Linked DNA regions of Arabidopsis thaliana. The protein of the gene in region 2 interacts with the protein of the main gene of each other region in a pairwise test. Each region holds a gene or a part of one and is shown on either strand. Other genes may lie near its edges.

Region 1 (4,767 bases), on a different chromosome or scaffold from region 2:
CAAGAATCTTTTTCCGTTGGATAAAATAGATAATACAAGCACACAAATTTATCAAAATTTGCGATCACGCAAATTCTTGTTGGACTAGAATTTAGGTGTCATAAATAAACTTAACTATATTTGCGAGTCTTTTGATCCAAAAATCTTGTACAACGTGTCTCAATTCTGAAACAACAAAGCAGGGGAAGTGTGGAAACAATGTGAAAGAAGAGATTTTTAAGATTCCTTAATTTCTTTTATGGCCGTATCTTGCTAGGTTTTCTACTATTCTATGTTTTTTTCCACAAGCGTGCCAATATGTTGAAAGAAGCGTGTATTCCTAAAAAGGAATGAGGGCTTCATTTCCAACGTATTCATGTGTCACGGTTGTTTAGCTTAAGCTTAATTTGGAAACTACTAACTTCGTGGGGGTTTATTATGGGCGGTTCCGACAATATATTATCTGTTAGGATGGTAAGGATTCTACTCTAGGTTCCAAAACGTGGCAGAAGCTACTGAAGTTAAAACCAATTACGGCTGAGTATGTACATCAGGAGATCCACAATGGTCAGCACTATATATGTACTTTTGTCTTCGATTTTTTTATTCCCATGGGACGTCTTCTCGACTCATAGATGAGGTATGCATTAGAAAATTATGTGTGCCAAAGTATGCAAAGGTCTCACAAGTGGTCACCTAAACTACGTAGTTGAGAATTTGCTAGAAACATCTTGAAATAGCATGGTACACAAAATTGAAATCCTTTCTTTTTTGTGATCAACATTTGAATCCAACAAAAATATGGCAATAACATTCATAATCATTTTAGTTCAAATATAAGTAAGACGAAAACATGACATAGCCATAGCATATATATAGGCAAAACAAAGAAAGTTGACTTAATCAAAGCTATTTTAGATATTATAGGGTTTTTAATGACATCATATCTAAAGATTTGTTTCTTCTAAAGATACTGAAAACTCTTTATTTTGTAATGATTAAAATTATTCAAATTGAACTAAACCTTTTCAGGCAAATACATCAACGGAAATGAACTTAAAGGCAAAACCTTTAACTGTAGTACAATAATAAAAAAAAACATCACATAAATTTTATTTTCTGAAATGGAAAAATCAAAAGATGCAGATGATCAACCACTTCACTCGAAATACATCCCTTCGACTAGAGATCATTGATGATGTTAGGAGCACAAACATCAGTGGGGGCAGTGGTGACGGTAGCGAGACAATCGATTTCGGGGTGGTAGTTGTTGTTGTCCATGCAAGGAATGCCCTCGTCCTCTCCATCATTAAGATCCAAATTCATACTCTGATTTGGATCTATATTCATTTTCATGTTAAAATCATGAAGTTTCTTTGGAATCTGATCATAAAAATCATAAAGAGCCTGGTATTGGAATTGAACCGGCTCTTGCTGATTTTGGTTTTGATCTTGAATCATACGACCATCAAAACCGATTGGGACAGATGCATCCACAACAGTAGGAGCTACACCAATAGGAGGAGGTACAGATGAAGAAGACTCACCGTTCTCCTTAAGGATCTCAACCCTACGAATAACACCATTGAGATACTTGTTAAGAAATACATTCAAATCAAGAAGATCTCTTCCATGAAGATGAGACACGTCCACCTCTCCTTTGAGACAACCAAACATTAAATCTCGAATCTGAGAATTACGGTTCTCATCACGTAGCTTCTGGAGACGTTCTGTTTCTTTGGCGATCCTTTGACGTAAAAACGTCTCTTGATCCACCATCTTCTTGGTCCGGTCCAACACCGAAAACTCCATAAACTTCGACATCACTTCTTCAACGCCTTCCCTTGATGGCCAAGGCTCCTGGATCGAGTTGTACGGGCTACGGATGACCGCACATGCGTCAACACCACATAGAGTTACTAGCTCGTTGAATTTCTTCAGCATCCCTTTCTTCCTTTTGGTGAATGTTGTTTTCCTCACTGAATCATTTTCTATGAACGATAACTTCATCTTCCCCCTCATATCTCTTATCTTTTTCTTTTGTGTATTTTGCTTTGTCTTGTTAGCATGAGGAGGATGGTTTATATAGTCAATTTTCGAGTCAATAGATTTTTTATTGCTTTGCTGGATATGATTAATTGATTTTTTATTTTACTAATTTTTCAGGATTTGTATTAGTTTCACCCTTACGTGTAGGCATGTGATTGATGGTAAAGTGATAATCATTTATCTTTAGAGACAGCCCATATAGATATTTTACCTTTTGGGGGGCATATATAAAAACAAGATATATAGGAAAACAGTTGTATCACATATCTAATGAGATTTATACTTTATTTAGGAAGTCCATTGAAAGGAAAACAAATTACATCAAAGGTAATTTAAGATATTTCTTCAATCTCTAAATTTTTTCTATATGTTAATAGTTTATATAAACATAATTAATAAATAATTTAAAATACATGTAATATCAGTTGGATAGAAAGTAATGTTATGGCTAAACAGTGAAAGTAATGTTATTTTATTTTTTTTGTTTCGTTAAGACACATGCTATTATGTGTGTTATCGATTTTGGGTGTTATAACTGTGGGGAAGGGTCCAATAATACAAACCATAGCTGCCAAAAAAAATATTAGTAACTAAACATCAGATTCTAAAGACCACAAAATGTGAGCACATGCTATTGTAAAACCGTGATGTTATTATGAAATAGAGACTCTTATAAGGCAAATGACTGATACAAATTAAAGACGTGTTTGCAAAATAAGTCTAAGCATGAGTAAACATGCATGTTTTATTGAAATCTTTAACAGCAAAAAAAATACAAAAACTATCACTAGATCCTAGTGATATTAACTTTGAGACCATGTTGCATACGAAAAAGAACAGAAGGAACTGGTTCGGTTTTGTGCCCTTCAACGACCTTGATGTCATAGTTTCGTATGATTTCCGCAGCCACTGTCTTCATCTGTAAGAACGTTAACTTTTTCCCCAAGCAAGCTCTTGGACCGGCGTTAAACGCCAAGAACTTATATGAAGGTTCATGTTTTAACCTTCCACTGTCTGAAATCCATCTCTCTGGTCTGAAATCTTCTGCGTCATCTCCCCAAACAGATTTCATCCTCCCTAATGCATACATAGATATGACAATCTTCCATTTCTCATCTACTCTATGCCCACTTGGAAGTACGTCTGGCTTTGCCGGTGACTTGTGGTTAAATGGAACTGGTGGGTATAACCTTAGCGTCTCACACACGGCACCGTGTAGATACACGAGCTTTTCTAAATCTGCGGGATCAAACCTCGGCATCTTCTTGTTAACCTCTTGTCGGATCTTGTTTATTGCCTCAGGGTTCTTGGACATAAGCCAGAAGAACCAAGTGAGTGCTGAACTTGTTGTATCTCTTGCCGCTATCAAGAAACCCAAAATAGTGTCTTTGATGAATCTATCATCACTTGGTTCCAAGTACTTATATTTGGTCGTGTCCATAGTCATGTAGTATGTCAACACGTCTATGGCCTCTCCTCTTGAGGGATGATGAGTCCCATGACTATTGATCTCCTCTCGTTTAGCCGTTATGATCTTCTCGAGTAGTTGATCGAATACCGCTAGACCTCTTTTCAATCTTTTCTCTACTCCTACACCAATCAAATATTGGAGCCTCCACAAGAAAACCGGCTTAACATGTCTATAGAAAACCCCGTCAGAAACACCATCGACCGCGTCACCGAACTCAACCTTAGGCATTTCAACGGATAAACATTTTGGATCATACCCGGTCATCAAAATCAAAGATGTATCAAACAAGAATCTCTGGAACAAATCTTGCAAGTCGACAAGGATATTTTTATCAGCTGCGTTTTCAAGAATAGGAACAAGCCCTTGCCTTAATTTTCTTACACTTGTACTCACCCAGAACATTTGGAAATCTTGATTACTAAAAATGGCATGAGACGAGTTCCTCATATCCTCCCACAAACCCGAGTCAACGTTGAAAATTGAATCACCCACGACTTCGAAGATCTTCTTGAACTCCATTCCTTTGGGGTAGTTAGCAAAATTTGAGCTTAGAATGTAGTGGATATTCACCGGATCAACAGTAAGCAAGATGTCCATTCCGCTAAGACATGGACCTTTGAAACAAAACGTCATATCTGTCGCCTCAAGAACCTCGGTGATCCAGTCGTAGATACGAGGCACTTGGAGGAGTAGACCCGGAAGCATCCCAAGGGCCGGCCAGTTCGTGAGCAAAGGCTTGGGAGTTTTCTTGTGGAGTAATAAACATTGGAAGAAAATGAAGAAAACAAATGCTGTGAAGATTTCAAGTAAACCTATGACTATCGCCATTATAGTAACAAAATGTTTATTCAAGAAATCTTTTTTTTCTTTTGGTCAAGAAATGTTTTGTCTTGTTAGTGAGTATATGAACTCCCTTACGATATCATATACGAAATGAAATGAATAAACACATGCATTCTATTTCGATCCGTTGCATTGGGATGTGTAACGACATTAAATCATATTATCCGTTAAAACTTTTTTTTCCAATTTTATGTATAGTGTATGCGCAGAGGCGGAACCATATTTTGTAATAAATGCCTCGAGTAAATTTTGTAAGATTTCTGCAAATTATGAAAGTTTACATTGATGTCCCCACCCATAAGTCTTTTTCTAATCAGAATATTTTAGGTGGTGTTATGGGTTAGTTTGGGTTTATATTTCATAAGTCTTTTTCTAAAGTTTATATCTTAGGTTTAAAGTTTTATCGGATTTTAAAAAACATTTGG
Region 2 (4,832 bases):
GGAGCTAAATCATTATCATCCAATCCGGATAAAAGTTCGGTTAACTGACTTCTCACACCTCGTAACAGCTCCATAACAGCATCGTTGTGAACACATTCTATGTCCTAGAGGAGAGAAGCAAATCCGTAAGACACAAGCCATATATATACAGAAATATGTAAAAGATCATAACAAAATACACACCAGTTTCTCTGTGATGATATCTCCAAGCTTTGGATCAGCCACAGCTAAGATTTCACCATCATCACAGTTATTTTTCAAAAACTTGTGTAGACCCTTGCTTGGAGTTCAGATGTGTTGTCAAACTTATGAAAAGCTTTTAGCTTAACCATCCTTCGAGCTGACTCTGCAGAGTAGAACTCAGTACCCAAATCCTACAAGAACAAATTTGACATACTTAGAATATTAAAAACAAACGACACATATAGACAAGGTTAAGATCAATGAAAGTAAGAGAATGAATAAGGTAAATAACCTCAACATTAGAGAGCTTTCCTTCATCTAATACTTTAAAGAGTGCAAAACCACCTGACGTCTCAAACAGTACGAGCATCTTTAAGATTACGAGAAACCCTTTAATCAACTCAACATCTCAAAGTCAGAACTATACTTAGTCAAAAACTAATACTTGGAAGCCACGTTCCACTGACAACGGAGAAAGATTCAATAAATACCTAAGAGGATTTAAGCAAAGCTGCTGCGTTAGAGAAAGAAAAAAAGAGGAGCAACGAATTTGCTATAAGGGTTCGAGATTCTTAATCGACGATCTATATATATAAGAAAATAAATATATGATTTTCTATTAAAAAGTTACGGAAAAAAAACATGTGAAAATATAATTTTCACAAAAAACTAAAAAAAAACCTTTAAAAAAAAAACTATTCTTATTTTCTTAAAATGGTATATTTCTAAAAAGAATTATACAATTAATTTTTAAAGATGTCAAAATAACCGACCTTACTTCTAAGGGAAAAGATTATCAAAAACAAAGTTTATTTATTCTCTATCAAAAACAGAGTTTGATCTGCTAATTTTAATATACAAATTGTAAAATATATGATTACCTTAAAGAAACTATAAAATTAATTACTAATTCGAAAAATGATTATAGTTACTTTTTTAATAAAATGTTGGTATAAATATGTTCATCTAATCTACGTTACATACATAATCTTAAATTAATCTCAAGTACTCTGTTCAAAGTTCAAACACATCACCTAACAAGATGACCATTAAGGAATCAAAAAGTGTTCAGCTAAAGGCTAAAACTCATGTAAAATTACAAGCAAAAGCTCCAAAAACTGTGTTCTTCTTTTCTGAGAATCCAAATTCAAATCACTAACTTGAATTTAACATCAACAAACTAGTAAGTGGAATTGCAAAACTGATTCAAACAATTTACTTTCAACTTCGAAAGGGTTCACATCAGAGTATCAAACAATAAAGGAAAAAAGGTTTACAAAAACTTAAATTGGATCAAGAATCTCTGTTTACAATGAGACAAAATCAGAACAAGTTCTGAAGATTACAACCACATCATATCAGACATGACGTCTAAAGTCGGAATCTCCGAAGTTGATCATTGCATTGGTGTTATCGAGACCGAAGTAGCTGTTTAGACCAAACACATCATCGTTGGATAGATCATTCCAAAAGCAGATCTCATCATCCAAATTGACATTGGCCTCTGTTTGTGTTTCTTGTAGTAGTAGATTGATTTGGTTAATCTCTTCCTCTGTTTCAAATCCTTGGATCTCGGAGCTAGGGTTTTGATCAAAAGAAGCAACTTGTGAAGATGATTCTCCACAGATCTGATAGAGAGAGGAGTAACAGTCCTGATCAAAAGACGGAGACGAGAGGTTAGGGTTTTGATCGCCATGGAAAGAAGAAAAGGTTTGATCGCTGCAATACTCGTTGACAGAGTTTGGAGTAAAAGTAGAAGCAATTTGCGAATAAGAAGATCCATCACAATCCTCGACGTCGAGAGAACAAGTACTATTAGGGTTTTGGTCGAAACTAGAAACAAGTTGAGATTTTTCTTCCTTCTCAAGGCAAGCCATCACATGCTTCTTCATTCTCTGTAAACGATCCTCGATAATGCTTAACTCAGAGAGATCATCACACGAATGGTAGAGATCAGGGTCTTCCCACCAAAATCCTAGTTTGGATCCGGCCGGGTTAACAATCTTGGGTGGAGGCTTGCGATTTAGGTAACAATCAGCGATTTCGTAGGCAGAGGAGTAACCGGAGAAGGAATAGACAACATCGGAACTATCGGAGGGAGAGGTTACGAAGACGGCGATGTTAGCACCGGAGATAAGACAGAGATCGGCGGCTTTGGAAAAAACAGTTTGACGGCGTTTAGAGCAAGTCACGGCTCGTTGCTCTTTGGTTTCTCGTTTCTTTATTTCGATTTTGCGCTTTGTTCCTTTCTTCATCATCGTGGAATCAGATGAAGGCATAATGTTTCTTACGGAGAGACAAATAGACACAGAGAAAAAGTGAAAAGAGAGAGTAGAAGCAAGATAGATATATTACCCATATTTATAGATGTAATAGCCGCCTGAGTTATATATGTCAAACTTAATTAGGTCTTGTTGTTTTCCTTTTACTGCCCAACTTTATTTCTATGCATTTAACGTTTTTTTTCTTTCCTACTAAAACGTTTTAGAGATTTCTTTTATTACAACAATAGCAGAAAAAAATTATTACTACTATAAACAATTAAACATATATATTGGATATTCAAAATTATCTAAATATTAGATTTTAACCCGCGTTATACCGTAGAAATAATTTATTTTTTTAAATCAGTATATATAAAAGTTTGCAAATTATATCTATCTATAAAATAAAAATATTTTATAGTTTACAATTGTTATTAAGTAACGTTCTTTCAAACCCGTTCCGCCAAACTCGTCCCGTAAAAAAACCCAGTGGTACACCGTTAATTTAAATATATAATTAAAATAAATATTTTACGGGATTGCAATTGTATTTTAGTTTGTCAAACAAATTTTTTTAAAAATATTTGTCGAAATCTAATTCAAATTTTGGAGAAATTAGATTTAGTGAATTGATAAGAAATGTATTTAGGTGCATTTTGCTCATTTTAAGGGATTGCAATTGTATTTTGGTTTGTCAAACATTTTTTGTTTTAAATAGTTACCGAAATTTAGTTCAATTTTGGAGAAATCTGCGTGATATATGGGATTAGAATATATTTGGAATTTTTTTTGCTTGTTAATTAATTTATTGCAAAAAAAACAATAATTAAAAGCTAGTGGCAGCCATTATAAATAAGTTCCAACTCTAAGATTTATTTCACAAAATGGCGGCAAAAATGTATATGTAGATTTAGTTACCTATAATCAATGTTCAAAAAATCGTTGTACGGTAGCTAGACGTTCGATAGATGTCTAGGCTATTTTTTTGAACATTACCTATAATAAGTACATAAAACACTATATATTAAACTTTTTCGCGGCAACTAAATCTAATAATACTAAATCAACAGTCACTTTTAAAAAAACTGTAAGCTTCTCATTTTGACACGTATGCTTTAAGTCTAAAATTTTGCACTTCCACAATCGTAAACCAATTCACTTCCTTTTACTATTCAATAGAATATTCTTTTTTGACAAAAGATAAATTTAAATTTTTTTAACCACTTTTTCAGCAACTACTTCTTCCACGTTATTAAGATTCTTTACTTTCTCTCCCATCTTTCAAACCCTCTGCCAGTTAATTTACGATCTCAAGAGCAACCGTATAAGCCATTCTCAAGAAGATAAAAACAGGTTTAAATTCTTCTTCTTCTTTCCTTTCTCATAATCTTAGATCCTCCATTCTTTCATCTAAATACGTCTACCAGAGAAACGAAAGAATGACGTAAATAATGAAAGTTGAGACTTTTGTGATACCTAATGTGATGGACGCTGTTAACCCCTCACGACTCACTGAGTTTGGTCCACCCAATCGCTGGTATGAATATCAATAAACCTTTGGCCGTTTTGTTGCGTTTTACTTGGTCTTATCTTCTTACATTTTCCATGCACACCCGCTGCTACAAAATGACCACATGAGTTTGCGAGAATCATATAGAAACAAAATGGATGCAAATGTTTTGGGGCTTTCAATTCAGAAAAAGAAGAAGAAGAAGAAGAAGATAACCAAATTGAGAGATGGGTGGCATGACATGACATCTTCTTCCACGGTGTAGTGTGCAAAATAATTTAAATGTGAAACCATCTTATATGTTCAAGTTTAGAAAAGCGTTTTGGTTAGAAGGTAATTCATTTCTCCATCATTATTATTGTTAAGTTTTTTGAGAAGAAAAAACGGCTCTGTATATATATATATATTTTTTTCTATATATCTATGAGATAAGTTAGTGTATTTATGTAAGATTATTTGCTGTTTCCAATAAAAGTTTTCTTAATTTTAACACATATATTATTTTACAATTTGAGTAAAGTTGAATAGGACTTTTATTGAGAGTTATAGAGCAATGTGTGATACACATTGTATTTTGTGAGGTTGTGATATTCGTCATTTGTGTAATTGTTGCAAATTTCAAAGACACGAAATATATTATTGGTATTGTTGTTTTGCGTGCAAGGCACGGGCTGCCTACTAGTTTACTTACAAATAAAAAGACTTTATAAATTAAAATCCAGTTCGATAGGTGTCTAGGCAGATTTTTTGAACATTACCTACAATGATTACATAAAACACTATAGATTAAACTTTTTCCACGGCAACTAAATTTAATTAAAAATAAAAAAAACTTTATGAATTAAAATCCAGTTAAATATTTTAAAACATATATG

Evidence for each region. Proteins that work in one complex are often made in the same cells at the same time.
Region 1: the proteins of AGL39 (region 2) and PHE1 interact in a two-hybrid assay, tested with the Arabidopsis thaliana proteins (one large-scale study listed by BioGRID).

What each region holds. Positions count from the first base shown.
Region 1 is NC_003070.9:24,265,320-24,270,086, forward strand, and holds PHE1 (MADS-box transcription factor family protein), read right to left. Parts: upstream 2,018-4,767; 5' UTR 2,002-2,017; coding exon 1,162-2,001; 3' UTR 938-1,161; downstream 1-937. Other genes in the region: CYP96A3 (cytochrome P450, family 96, subfamily A, polypeptide 3), read right to left, coding at 2,816-4,327. UniProt on the Arabidopsis thaliana protein: Probable transcription factor involved in the development of gametophytes and seeds.
Region 2 is NC_003076.8:9,544,263-9,549,094, reverse strand, and holds AGL39 (AGAMOUS-like 39), read right to left. Parts: upstream 2,549-4,832; 5' UTR 2,463-2,548; coding exon 1,542-2,462; downstream 1-1,541. Other genes in the region: AT5G27140 (NOP56-like pre RNA processing ribonucleoprotein), read right to left, coding at 1-104, 184-276, 330-374, 476-553.